Alligator mississippiensis: one gene and its partner. The protein of the gene in region 1 interacts with the protein of each later gene in a pairwise test. Links are inferred from orthologs where the notes say so. Each region holds a gene or a part of one and is shown on either strand. Other genes may lie near its edges.

Region 1 (7,227 bases):
CTAGTCACATTCAGTGCTATCAACAGAAACTGATGGCTGGCACATTTACAGCTGAAAGGATGGAAACAAAATGCAGCCCCTTAATTTGTTATAACTTCAATCTCCTCTGCAAGAACACTCACAAAGGGGCAAACCTTGCAAGGGCCAGGAAGGCCCATCAACCCATCAAATGCACAAAAGTGAGGGGAAACTGCCTCCACAGCAGAGGATGAAATCACAGACCTGTGGGCAGCATGACAGCATCATTCTTTTTTTCATCTGCTGATTTAATATCCTAACACCTAGATGCTCCTGTGACGGGGGCTACACGAACATCTTTAACAGGGTTGCTCATTTTAAGAATAACTCACCGTTTTTAACTTCTTTGGTACAACCTCCTTGGGCAATTCTTCCTGCTTAATAGGTTTCTCATCATCCTCGTCCGAGTCATCTTCCACCTCCTCCTCTGCTGCAGGCTTTCGCAGCCCGGCGCTGATAAAATTGACAGGGGCTGAGTAGTCTCGAGATCTGTATAAGGAAATCACGTTAAAGAGGCATTTTTAGAACTGCGTGCGTCAGAGCTCTTCCACTGGGGCAGCAGCTGGAACACAGTCAGAGACACCCTCGCAAGCAGTTCCCTCTTAATGTTACGATATGGAGCTACAAAGCCGGTATTTGAAATGCAGGAAGTTTGAATTTATGAAGGAAAATCTGCGTTCTGAAAAGGACCTCGCATTTTTTGTTTTAGCAAACTTCAGCCTTGAAAAACAATCATCTCTATCCCAAACTCTACCTAGGCACTAAGCCAACTGCTGAGGGAAGTGAACACCATGTATGGACAACCCAGGTTATGTAGCTTTTGAAAAACCCTGTATGAGATTCCAATCCCTCCCTTCTCTTACACAAACCACAGCCAGCACGTCGTTTACCACCTCTACGTGCTTGAGAGAGCACCTTTCTGCACTACGCTCTAGGTGTCATGTTGCCAATGGCTCCCTGGTGGTGACACAAGACTTAAGTCGCAGAACCCCCGGGGCTGACGAGAGAACTCTCCCGCGGTTCCTTTCAGGCCAGCAGGGAGAGGATGGAGTTACTTTATTAAGGGAATTATTAACGGAACTGAAAGTATCATCATGTCTCTTTATAAATCCATGGTGCATGTTGAATGCTCTTTATAAGTCCATGCTGCACCTTGAATGCTGCGCCCAGTTCTGGTCCCCACACCACAAAAGGATGCAGAAAAACTAGAAAAGGTCCAGACACAGGCAGCAAGGATGTTGAGAGCTATGGAGGGGCTTCTGTGTAAGGAGATACTAAAGAGGCCAAGCCTGTTCAGTTTAGAAAGAGAAACCCTAAAGGGGAGCACAGGACAAGGGTTTACAACTAAATGCCAAAGTGAAAGCCAATAGGGATTCATAGAATCACAGAAGTCAGGTCGGAAGGGACCTTGTAGATCTTCGAGTCCGACCCCTGCCTGGGCAGGAGGGAAACTGGGCTTAAGTGACCCCAGCCAGGTAGGCATCGAGCTGCTTCTTAAAGCCCCCCAGGGTAGGAGCCAGCACCACTTCCCTTGGAAGTTGGTTCCAGATCCTAGCCACCCTGACTGTGAAGTAGTTCCTACGGATGTCTAATCTGAACCTACTCTCCAACAACTTGTGGCCGTTATTCCTTGTTATCCCGGGGGGGCGCTCGGGGAAACAAGGTCTCCCCCAAACTCTTCTGGTCCCCCCTAGGGAGTTTACAGACGGTCACCAGGTCCCCCCTCAGCCTTCTCTTGTGGAGGCTGAACAGGTTCAGGTCCCATAGCCTCTCATTGTAGGGCCTGCCCTGCTGTCCCCGGATCATGTGGGTGGCCTCCTCTGGACCCTCTCCATGCTGTCCACATCCCTCCTGACGTGCGGCGCCCAGAACTGGACGCAGTACTCCAGCTGCGGCCTGACCAGTGTCGCGCAGAGGGGGAGGGGGATTTATTATCTACTCTCTCTCACGATACAAAAGCTAGGGGTCACAAAATGAAACGAGTAGGCATTAAGTTTAGAAAGAACAAAACAAAATGTTTTCACCCAACATGTCACTGAAGCGTGGAACTTGTCGCCACCAGAAGCGAATTCAAAACGGGCTGGGGGACATTCCTGGAGGAAAGGGGCGTCAGTAGCTGTTGAATATGGGAGTGAGGGATACAACCCCTGAATCAGACCTTCCTAGACCTTAAATGCTGGCGGCTGCAGGGGGGAGAGGAACAGGGAGGGAAAAACCCCTGGTCCTCCCCTGTTCACTCTCCCGTTCAGCGTCTGCTGCCTGACAAGGCCCTGTTTGTTACGCCGTGGGGGACGTGCGGGCTTACACTCACAAGGAAACACTAGAAACCTCCCTTAAAAGCGGGGGCAACTGGAAACATAACCGACTTTGGGGGACAAATAAGCAGCAAGCAAGGAAAGGAGCGCGGTCACGAGCTAACAACGAGGGATCGGGAAGGGAACACCAAGCAGACCACGCCGGCCCCAAACGAGTCGAGCCCGTGGACGGCGGCCAGCGAAGATCTGCTCGGAGACGACGGCTCCGGTCACCCCGCGAGCAGCGAGGAGCCGCCCGTACCGCTTGCCGCCGAAGCTGGGCCGCTCGTCGTCGGAGTCGCGCTCGGCCCAGATGCCGTAGGTGGCCTCCTCCTTGGTCTGCCGGTGCCGCTGGCGGTTGGGGTTGAACTCGTTCTGCAGGTCCCAGTCCGTGATCTCGAAGCTCTCCATCTCCACCTCGCCCTCCTCATCCTGCCCGTACAGGTGCGACATGGACATGGCGGCCTGCCGGGGCGCGCCGGCATCAGAGCTGGTGGCGGGGGGGCCAGAGAGGCAGGTGCAGGCACCCCCACTCCTGCCCCCCCGACCCCTTTTCCTTCCCAGCCCTTCCCCCCACCCCATTCCCCCAGCCCCTCCCCCACTCACCTCTTCTCCCCCAAACCCGCCCCCCCCCCAGCACTCACCGCTCCCCGAACCAGGAAGCGGAGCTACAGCTTGTACCGGAAGCAGGAAGCGGCCGGATGTCCTTCCGGGGTCGCGAGCGCATGCGCCAGCGCCTGCCCGGAAGCCCGCGCCGCGGAGCATAGAGTGAGGGGGTGGGGCAGAGCGGCACGGCCGGCTGTCCGCCTCGGCGGACTTCTCTATGGTTGGGAGGGTGGGGTGGAGGCTGGGAGGTCTGCACCCCCCCCCCCACACACACACACACTTTTTCTCTCTAACTTCACACACACGTGCATTATGTATCTACACACACAGGTAAATGCACATATGTACACCCACCCGGTGTATGTATGCACGCACGATGTATACACTCACACATGAATTAAGCCTACACATGTATACACACTCATTATGAACACACGGACATGACGTGTACACACGCTGCATACATGCACACGCATGTACACACACACTATATGCATATGCACACTATGATTATGCATGCACACACACACCCCTATTGTGTACACACGCACATTATGCATATGCACATATTACATACATGCACACATGACATGCATGCACGCACACTATGATTACGTATGCACACACACATAAACATGTATCGCGTACACATACACATTACGCATGTACCCACACACACTATGCATATGCACACACACGTATCGGGGTGGGCAAAACACGGTCTGCCGGGCCCCTAAATATTGATTTTCTAAATTTTTTATCTTCCCTGGCTGCCTGTCGGTGCAGCCCTCGATGGCTTGCCAAGCCTCAGTAAGCAGCCCTCCGCCCAAAACGACTGCCCGCACACACACACGCACACAGCACAAGCTTTCAGCTGTAGCTCACTTCCCCAGCACTGTGAAGGGGGAGGGAGGGATTCCTCATGCCACCGTTTCTCATTCAAATCGGTATTTAAACACTTGCTGCTGGAGAACTGCACCCCTCGGGTCAGCGACGGCACATCCGCGGGGTTGAAGCACCTGCCCCAGGCTGGCAGGTCTGTCTGCCACCCATGTCAGAGCCCCCAGGCCCTCCCACGCACCCACGGGCCCCGCATCCTTCCCGTGTCCGCAGCCCTTCGTTCCAGCCCGCGAACGCCCTTCCTCGCATCATTAGCGCAAACGATGATGACACGCCCTTTCGTCTGGAAACAGTGTTTAATCACCGCAGGAAATGAACGGAGCGGAGCCAGGAATGAAACAGATGGCCTCATATATTAATTTTTAAATAGATTCTGTAAATTACAAGTGAAGGAACGACAGAAGGCAGGTCTCCGATTGTCACTTGTACGACCAATGCTCTACGAGGTTATCGACACCTATTCCCGGTTTGCAAACAGAAGAACAGAATGACGAGACAGTTTTAAATACAACTTTAAAAAGTCCTCAAGTAACCGAATGGGCGAATCTCTTTCCAACGCGCTCTGAAGTTCCAGCCAGGAAACTCGTCTCCCAGGATTTTCCTCTTTACCACAGAGCATTCAGAGAAGGTAGACAACTGGTATCCGATGTGTGTCATGTTTGGCCTTTGCAAATAAATGCAAATACATTCCTTGTGTAGCAGTCCTATTTTGGCAATATTAGCAAGCAATATGCTTGGATAACAGATTTCCACTTTTGCAACTGCAAACTGTCTTCTCTGCTGGACGCTGAAAGGCCACGTGCAGCCTCCTGAAACAGAAGAGACGCGAAGCGTTAGGGATGAGACGCTGAACATAGTGACCGCGGGGTCCACTCTTCAAACCCACAGCTACTTCAAGCACCTTGTTAGCGAGATCCAAGACCTGGACATCACCTCTCCCTACTTGGTGCTGACCCAAGCCCCATCAATCCCACATGCAAGACGTTTCTAATGTTGCTGAAGTCTCTGAAGGCTGCAGCATGCAGGTGCCCCCAGGGAAGAGATCTTAGTGCATGTTGCACACCGGGAGGAAGCACAATTACACCCGGAGCACAACCCCTTACCTGGAAATCATTAAGTCAGCGAGTGAGGCTCCGACGTGTTCTGAGGCACCTGGAACAACCCAAGACAGACGAGAGTTAGCTCGGCCCCAGACAGCCCCTCTGCACCGACAAAGCGAGACAACCAGGGGATGCCAGTGGTCCACGGGGCAGGAACCAGCACCGCACAGAGATCCCCGTGCCAGCTCGGGTCCTGACCACAGCACGGTCGTGTGGGCACAGCACAGGTTTTGGGACAGCAGGGTGGGGGGGATGAATGCAGACTCGCGAAGGCAAGCCCAGAGCTGCGAGCGAGGGCAGTGCTGGAGGGGTGGCAGCGGGGTTAGCATGCAGGCTGGGCACGGCAAAAGGATTCGGAGGGTTGGGAGGCTGCAATCCGCGTGGCAGAGGGGGAAGAGATGCAAGCAGGATTGACAAGGGGCTTCTCCTAGCAGCTGCCAGCATGGAGCTGCTGCCTGCACGGCGCGCGGCACACCCACCCACAGCGCTCTCGTTGCCGCCGGCTCTTACCTGCAGATGCCCTTTCAGATTAGCCGGCACTTTGAAATCTCCCTTCAGGACCTGCAAGAGAAGCAAAGCCGGAGTGACTCCCCGTGGCCTTGGGCTGGGGGCTACTCACCGCCCCTCTCTGCCTCGGTCACCACCCGGCTCATCCCTGGGCGCCCACGCCAGACACGAGCACCAGCAGTTTAACACGGGGCACCTGGAGTGCGTCCCCGAGGCCAACAGCTGGCGTGGTGGCAGGGCTAGTTCAGCCAAGATGCAGGGTTTGCCCCCAGCTGCCTGGATCCTGGCCAGCCGAGACCCCTTCTCCCCCCAGGGACTTAGGAAAGCGCATTAAAGTCTCAGCCTTTCACCTGGCTCTTGTTGTCTCCAGTCCTTCGTGGCCCCAAGCCCGACCGCAGCCCGCCCCACCCCGCGCAGGGGACCCCGCACTCACCCGGTGCGTGTTGTTGATCACCAGGGGGTCCGGGCTGCCGTAGTTGGGGGGGTTGGCGTAGGGGTCGTAGCCCAACCTGGCCAGCATGGGCGCGATGTGGGCCATGTCCTGCACCACGTCGCCTGGGATGTGCCCGATCCACTTGGACAGCGCCTCCAAGTTCACAGGCTTGATGACCTGGTCCGTGGACCTCTCGATCCTGGGGGAAAAGGTCAGGCACTCACTCACCGGGATGCTGGAGCGGGCTGGGGTCTGTGTCCTGCTAGACTAGTGGGCTCTGCATCCCCTGGGAGGACTTGCTCAAAAACAAGAGACCTGAAGCTTCACGAGAGGCCGTGACGGAGCTCAGGGACATGGATGCATCTCATGGGGGGCTGCCCTGCCCCAGCCCCTAGCCAGGCTTGCCCCGCAGGAGGGCTTTACTACAGACCGGCTACATGGCAGCGCAGCTACAGGCCTGGAGCTGGGCCAGCCCTGGGAGCAGGAGCCACACGTCCCACCCTGCTTGGTGGGACCTCCGATCCCTGCCTAGGGCCCATCGTTCGTGCAACCTTTCAGTGGTTTTCTGTCTCCACCCCGCAGGAGGGATTCAGCACCATGCCCATTGGGACTGAGGACACCACACCCTAAATATCTAACACGCCAAAAACGCTGCTTCAGGCATCACCAGCTTGAGTCGTGGCCCATGCAGCGCCGGGTGGGAGGACCCTGGTTGGGCTAAAAAATGCCAAGCTTGGAAGCACCCCTGCGCAGGCTTCGCTGGGAACAGGTGCAGCCCATGTTGGATGCCCAGAGCCAGAAGGGAACAGGCGCAGAGACCTCCCGGCCAGTCCCCACGGGCTACGGTCAGTGCTGGCTGGAGCAGGTGAGAACTAACAACCCGCAGCGGGAGGGAGCGTTCCAGCGGCTGCAGACAGCAGCTCTCTGGAGCACAGCGAGGGAGTGCACACGTATGCACACACGTGCGTGTGTGTGTGTATGCATGCACTCGGGTGCACAAGATGCTTTATTTCACAATCAGGGGATGATTGAGACGGGCTCCTCCCCTTCCCAGTTGGCTGCAGCCAGGTTGCAACAGCCAGGTCACGGCAGCCCCCTGCTAAGGGTGCAGGCATAACCTCATCTCTAGCTGCAGGGACTCACTTGGACAGGGAGACACCGCCAGGCTTCCCGATCAGGTCCTCGTGGTGCAGCATGGCATCGCTCCAGGCGATGCCCAGGAACTGCATGATGGCCTGCAGGGACTGCTCCGGGTGCAGCACCAGCTGCTCGTAGTAAACGGGCAGGCAGCGGGAGCGCCCGATCTCCTGGCACTGGGAGTACATGACCTCGATGGCCTTGTTCCACTTGGTCAGGCAGTCCCGGTAGC
Region 2 (7,647 bases), on another chromosome or scaffold:
TTTCTGTAAGGACTGATAATCTGCGAGTAAGTTCCCCTCTCTCTGCGAGATTCTTGTCTTCTGAAATTTTATGCAATGTTTGCAAAGCATCTTTAGTCCTTAACAGTTCTGCTTCAACTTTTCTAAGCTTCCTCAATGTTTTTCGCTCCTGCTCCTGAGACTTCCTAAGGAGTTCCCTTAGACTTCTTACCTCATGATAATGTCTTGCTATAAGATTAGGCAAGTTATTCTCTGCATTTTCATATTTACCTATTGCTTTCAAGTGCCGATATTGAAGCTGTTTCAGAAGCTGATTTTCTACATTTGAAGCTTCTAGTTTATGCTGGAGATCTGACAGTTCATTTTTCAGTTCTTTAGTTTTGTGAAGTCTTGCTGAAAATATGCGTTGAGCCAGAACATCTTTTTTCTGAGAGACTGTGGTATTCTGATTGCTTAAGAATGAAGTGTTCTGGTGCCGCATCTTCTTAAGTGGCAATTTCTTGCTTCCTACATTCAGACCAAAACAGATAAATCGTGATACATATATTATTTAAGGGTGCATAAGGCGTAACTTTACTATTCTTATAACTGGTTATCCCAAGATTTTTAAATGTAGTGTATATGACAAATTGCCTATAATCCATACCACAATTCCTCTATTCACCTATTTCATCCAGATACCCCCAGAGCAGGGATTTTTCCTGATTACACTTGGCCACAACTAAAGTCAAGTCCATATCAAGTCGAAATGTTTCCTCACCTACTTATTCTGTTAGACCATCTTTGTTCTACTTAGCCATAGTCTTTTATTTTAGTAATGAGAATATATAAGAGCTTCTTTTGAGGCAAACAAAAGCACTCTATGAATCAACTGGTACGATGTCCTTACAAAAGCATCTCCAAAGCCAACTGAAACTAAGTTTCTCTCTCAGTCATTCAGTGGAATCAATGTGCCCTTAATCTGAGAATCAGATGTATATATAGGTCTGATCTGACCTTTTTGAAAAGACTCCCATTAACTCCAGTGAAACTAGATCAAACAGTTGATTATGAAAATTCAATGCATTATAGAGAAGGAAGAAAATGTCAATTTACTGTACCTGCAAAAACTCAGAAAAATAAAGTTATGGCAATAATATGTATTTCAACAACTCTGCATCTAGTTACCACCTAACCAATTCTAGCACTTTCAAACCATTTTTAAAAATGATAAATAAAAGTCTACAAATACACATATAGTGTTTTTTCAATCATCAAGCATTCAGATTAGTTATATAGCTTTCCTTGCCACGTACTGCATTTGCTAAATATTCTTGATCACTTGACATTCTAAATTACCACTGCTTACTTCGTTGTCCTTTCACAAAGTAAAACTGAACTAGACAGAGATTTATAAGTCTTAGGCTATAAACAGATGCCTTACTAGAGTAGTGATTCTCAACCAGGATGCTGGGGAACCTTTGGATTCCCTAGATCCTTTGAAGGGAGCCATGGGAAATGTGAGGAGATAAGCAAAAAAAGGGCAGGCTAAGGCTCTCCCTCCCTTGGCTTCCTTGCCCCCACTGTCTGAAGCCTCTGCAAGGGGGTAAACACTGTAATCAATTGGTTTTGGAAAGGGGATGCCACTCCGTTCATAAAAGTTATGGAGGGGTCCCTTGAATCTAAAAAGATTGAGAACCACTGTATTAGAGGCAAGTCTGATTGTCTGACCCAGATCAGAACAGATGAGGCTCAATCATTTACATACCTTGCCCTTCCAACATGCATTGCTGTTCCTCTGCCAGTAGGTAGAGAACAAGAGCACACTTTTCCCTGGAATTACCCTACAGATGCACAGAGCCACATCCTTGGAAAAAGCATTAACACATTTTTATCTTTCAGAGAGACTCGGTCTGGGACAGTGGACTTGTATGTCTGTAAGATCCCAGGACAAATTCTGTGCCTATTTACAGCCTTACTATTTACTTCACTTGTATCAAAACATTCGATTTCTTAACAGTTCTAAAGCATTCCAGGCAGCACTCCACTAAATGGTTATTCTTATAATATATATACAATTCAAAATGTCCTTGCCATTTGCAAGAAAAATAGGCAGACAAATTCTGTGACTCAAACCCCATGGGATATAAGGGATAGATACAGTTAAGCATGCCTATTAAACTAGCAGGTAGAATGCATTTAAATGAAAATTATGGATGGGACACAGCAGCAAATAACTGATCAAGTTAAGCCAGCTTGTGTCTTTTAATTCCATGGCTTCTCTGTTGAGTTTTATTAACGTATTTATTATTTTCATTTTATAACTTTGTATTATGCGTTTTTTGCTGTCTGTTTATTAATAAAGACCCAAGCTGGAATTTCTGGTCAAAACCAGAAAGAGTGTAGCGGTTGGGGCACTCAGCTGGAATGTAAGATGCTGTTTCAAGTCCATGATTTTAGTCAGGACTTGAACCCAGGTCTTCCACAACCCATGCAGGAGTTTTAACCACTGAATTAAAGTCTATCTTGAAGTATCAATCCCCTCTTTCCTCTTCCTATTTTTGAAAACTCAAAAATTTTTGCAAGGTAAGAAAACCAGCTCCTTTCAGGCTCTAATCACCATAAAAACTGCCAATGAATGAAAATAGTTCCACTCTTATATTATTTGGCTATTGGTAAAAAAAAAAAAGCAGTTTTCTTGTTACCTTTGATTTGATAACCTTGTCGACCATATTTGTTTTTTTTCTTTTTCTGTAGCTTCTTCTCTTTGGTTCTTGGCATTTTTAAAGAACTGTTGCTGCTGGCTGATTCTGTACAGTCAGAGAAAAAGTCCTCAGAATAGTTCACATGAAAATGTTGACTGACTTCCATATTCTCTGCTGCATTGGCAATAGTCATTAATTCTGCCAGAACAACCTGTTCTGATGCTTTCCCTAATACAATCATTAGTGCCTCTGCTTCTTGTGCTGCTTCCTGAATTAGTGTCTTCTTGCACTAACATACGGAGGAAACAGTCACCTGAGTTCATCAGTGTGTTGTCAGTAGAAGACATTGGAATTGACCTACCAGAATCAAAATGTTGATCACTTATACACAAAACTTGAGGGGGGAAAAACATGGCATTTATTAACCTCTTTAATGCACATTATTTATTCTTTAATCCAATAAAAATAGCCAGTTTCAGTATCTGAAAGAAGGCAAACATTTAGCGCCCTAGAGAGATGTTAAATATAATCTTTGTTATTTAAGAATGTATATGTTCTCGGTGGATGAACATCCCTTAATGCATGTTAATAAATACCATAGTTGCAGTTTCCTTGTATGCTAATATACTATCAGTGTAGTTGTTTGTTTACTGCTTAATAGAATTTAGAAGAGGTAGTTATGTTGACCTGGGCATTGATGAAAAATTCACTGAAACTAGTACAATACAATTAAATAAATGTTTTATACAGCCTAGGTAGATGTCATCCAGGAACTGGTCTCTTAATGGGCATTTCTGCATCTTTTTATATACATTCCTAACGCTCCATCCATGTTATAGAACTCCATCTGGACTCCATCCATGTCAATTTACTTCCTTTTTTTCATCCTTGATCCCCAACATGAACTAAGTAATGAATTATAACTGAACACTGTTTTGCCTTACATATGTATTTATGTAGTAGGCTGCGTGCAGAGTTACTGTTATTATACAAGTGCATCTATATTAGAGATTCTAATAAGCATATAAAATATTTCCTTTTGGGATGAAAGCTGTCATATTGCCAGCCAGGAATCATTTAACAGTACATAATATGCTTGACTGCTTTTGAAAAGCCACTTAAGCACCTGAACATCTTTAGTGTAATGCGTTGGTAAGAGATGTGGCTTTCACTTGTCCAATCTGTATCTGTTAAATTTGATCAACTGGGTCGTTACAGAAAAGGAGGGGATAGTGGCAGCATCTGAACAAGACTCTGAGCGCACAGTTGTTACTAAGCAGTCATTTAATACTAGCATATGTAAGAACTAAATGGCTGCGCAGTTGCATCCCCAAATGGCTTTTTGGTGATGCTGACTGCATAATAGCTCATTATGACTACACAGTAGCATTGCGTCACGCTTCATGCCATGCAATGCTAGTGCAGTCGTAACGAGCTATTGTACAAGTCAGTGTCACCAAAAAGCCATTCAGCAACACTACTGCGCAGCAGTAATGAGTAACTATGCAGCAACAAGCTACTGCAGTCAGCACCTCATGTAGACACAACCAGTGAGGATAAATTATTCCACCAAACTAAAACATTTGCAGATTAATGAGGATTTGACTGATCCCTAAGCTCTTGTTCCCCCACGTTTGCAGAAGTAGCTGTTTCATTTGAAAAGGGGAAAACCAGGATCAACGGTTATTGGCCCCAGCAGACTTTCCTCCCCAGAGCAGGGGGGCTGGACCCGATGATCTCACAAGGTCCCTTCCAGTGCTAAACTTCTGTCCATTAGTGTCATCTTCCCCCCACCTCCCCCATTTTCAAAGAAAATGACCTTTCTGGAGTTTTTCAGAAAACAGCAACCTTCACCTAATAGTGTTTCCCCCAACAGTCTTTCTTCCTCACACAATACCAAAAGCAACAGCACACACTGCCTGACAAAGTGGGGTTGTGCTCCAAAGCTTACGAAGAAGACATTTTCCGACTATCTGAGTTGGTCTAAATAAAAGATATCAACTTGACCCAAAGATATCGGTTTGCCTGCTCGTGTCCGCGTCCCTGGACCCCAGCAGGGGCTGGCACAGCCCCCCCCCCCTCAATAGCCACGCAGGACCCCCAATTCAACTATGACCCTGCAGGGCCTGCAGTGAAGCTTTTGTGAGCATGCGCAGAAAGAGGACGCAACAAAAATGGCGGACGTGCTCCCTCCAGCCCCAGAGACCCCGGAAGAGGGGGGCGGGAATGTATGGGCGGGGGCTCGTGGCAGTTCCCCTCATCACCCTTTCCCTCCCCCTCCCCACTGCAGCAAATGGGGCGTCCCCTCGTACCCCCTGCCTCGAAGCATCGGTTACCCCGCGCGCCGCCTTTGGCCGTTGTCTGAGCGCCGCCGCTGTTCCCTTGCTATGGGAACCAGCCGCTGGGCTGGCGCGGAGTATCCTGGGACTTGTAGTCCCGCGCTGATGGCGAGTGGGGAGGGGGAACTCCGGGGTGGTTCCCTCCTGTTCCGCCCCGCCCCCTCTCGCTTGGAGGCGGTGACGTCACGGGTGTCAGCCAATCGCATGCAGCGATGCTTCCCCCCCCCCCCTCCAGCGTGCTGGAACTCGCCTCAACAGGGAAACGTGGTTGCGCGCCTTGCTGTGGCAGAGATGGGACCCGGAACGTGTCCGGTGTGCGCGCCGCTCCCTAGCTGTTGTCCCAGCTTGGTGTCCCCCCCCATATGGGGGTTTGAGGCATAGACTCTTGCTTCTCAGCCAGGGGGCTGTGGCACTTCAGGGTGCCTTGGGAGCGCTTGCAGGGTGCAGCTGCGCAGGGACAGCAGCTGGGAGCCCTGGGGCAAAGCAGAAGTGGTGCTTATGCAATCACAGCAGCAGTCCCTTGAGTTTATTTGCCCCCCCCCCTTCATGTCAGTTGCCCCTGTCTCACTGCCCTGGTGCTGCCACCTCTGCTGTACGATGTCACAACCATGCACAAACATGATTCATAGGATAAGCTTTCCTATAGGAAGCCATGCCATGAAATGAAGGAGGGGGCTCAGTGTTTTGGGCCAACAGAATGAGGCCAGGCTGGTGCACTTGCTGGGTTGGCCTCCTGGTACCACGATTGGGCCCAATACCGCCCCTATTTGGCCCCATGTGCCAGTATCAGGGCCCAGGCTGCGCTGTGTGCATGCACACAGGCCACAGTTCATGCAGTTCCCCACAGGCTAGACAGCCTGGCGCCAGGGGCCAGATCTGTCCCGCAGGCTGGGGTTTGGGCACCCCCGTGTTAAACCGTTCTGTCTTGTAGTTCTGAGTTCTTTGCACCAGAAGATTCACCGTGTTGTTTTTCCATAGTGAAAAAAAGGTGAAAACTCCCAAGTTGGCACTTTCTGAGCAGAGCCTCCAGCCTGGCTGAGGCGCTCTAGGGTCATGCTCTTCTTACCATGTAGTTTTGTCAGTAGGTTAGACCAGAGGTGCTCAATCCCTGGCCTGCAGGCCAAATGCAGCCCGTGGAGCTGTGGTGTCCAGCCCACAGGGCTCTCCCGGGTCAGAAAATATGGCAGTGGGGGATTAGTGGCAATTAATACTGCCACCCCCCCTTTACTGCCCTATTCCCAAGCTCTGTGTAGCTGGGTTAGAGTTAGGCCACATTCCCTGCTCCCTCAGCCATTTCGGGACTGAGCCAACCCCTTCTTCTACATACCCGGATGGGGATGGGCTGCCCTCTGCCTCCCTCCACACAGCCTGATCAGGACTTGCTGCACACCATATTGGGCCCACTGGCACAATCCTGCCCACGGACCCACTGAGGCCACAGGGCAAAAAGGTTGAGCACCAATGGGTTAGATCATGGATACAAATAAGGTGATCTTACATCAGATAGGGGGTTGGACTAGATGACCTCTGGCAGTCCCTTCCAACCCTACTTTTCTATTATTTCTATAATACAAATGACTAATGTGCTATTGTTCATCGTGTTTCATCTGCATCCTGCATGGTGCCATAGATGCTTTCAGGGCTGGATCCTGCACATGTTTACTACTGTTTAGTATTTATAACACACTGTGCCTTTTAATAAACAGTTAAAGGAGTGGGCCTCTGATTTCCAGTTCTTCAAAACATTTTGTAGAAAGGAAGACAAATTAGTAAATAATAATAATGATAGTTCTAAAATGGCTAAAGTTATTCAGGTTGAATTACTGGTAAGTGAAAAAATAAAATGTTCTACTGGATAAAAGCTTGTATAACAAAGTTTAGCATGAAGTACAATGTTTGACTCAGTTACAAATTTAGTGTTGGAGCAATTTACCCATTGAAATGTATTTAAAGCAATCTGACTTCTTTCATTTCTTGACTGTCTCTTGCTTCCATCTCAGAGAAGAATGGACCGAGAAATATTTAGAGTGGTTTAAAATAGCTATTTCAGTGCTTTTCGCAAATTTGGGGGGGGGACTTCTGTTAAGGATCTAAATTATTGTTCACACAACAGACCACAGCATCTTTAAAACTGGACAGTGGATAAATTAGGCTAACAATTTACTACTAATCAGATTGCTTACTACTGCGAACATTTCCCTGTTAAAGTCAGTGGTAATGAACATTATTTTTGCATGTGTTACAGGATTAGACTCTGAGGTCTTCCTTAAAACAGTTACACATGTATTAAAAATGCTGTCCGGACTTGAGACCTGCATTCTTCAGGCCAAATTCACCTATGGTGTCGAGCACATTTATACCAGAAGCTAATTTGGCCCTTTCAGTTTAGTGATAAGATACAATTTTACATTCGTAAAGTAATTTCCCTTCTGAAAGTTTCCCAAAAGCTAAGTAATAAGCAGTTCCACTCCATCAGACAGCATCAGGTGGAAACCTAGTACCCTGCACTCTTCAGAGGGAGGGAATATTTTCACAAAGAAAACATAGCTCCTCTCTAACAAAGAGTAGGGGGAGATTTTCACTGGCCATGTAGAACAGAGTAAAATTCTGTTTTAGGGTCTCATGCATAAAATCATCCAAATCTC

What was found. The genes of interacting proteins can lie anywhere in the genome.
Region 2: the proteins of TFIP11 (region 1) and LCA5L interact in binary tests that used the Homo sapiens proteins (3 or more experiments, as listed by UniProt). The two-hybrid records come from large-scale screens. The link is inferred for Alligator mississippiensis from reciprocal best matches to the Homo sapiens genes TFIP11 and LCA5L.

Annotation. Positions count from the first base shown.
Region 1 is NC_081833.1:1,409,903-1,417,129, reverse strand, and holds the start of TFIP11 (tuftelin-interacting protein 11), read right to left. Parts: upstream 3,061-7,227; 5' UTR 2,957-3,060; intron 2,778-2,956; 5' UTR 2,772-2,777; coding exon 2,575-2,771; intron 508-2,574; coding exon 351-507; intron 1-350. Other genes in the region: TPST2 (protein-tyrosine sulfotransferase 2), read right to left, coding at 4,932-4,970, 5,429-5,479, 5,859-6,057, 7,002-7,227. UniProt on the Homo sapiens protein: Involved in pre-mRNA splicing, specifically in spliceosome disassembly during late-stage splicing events. Intron turnover seems to proceed through reactions in two lariat-intron associated complexes termed Intron Large (IL) and Intron Small (IS).
Region 2 is NC_081824.1:296,694,457-296,702,103, forward strand, and holds the start of LCA5L (lebercilin-like protein), read right to left. Parts: upstream 3,012-7,647; 5' UTR 2,905-3,011; coding exon 2,664-2,904; intron 487-2,663; coding exon 1-486.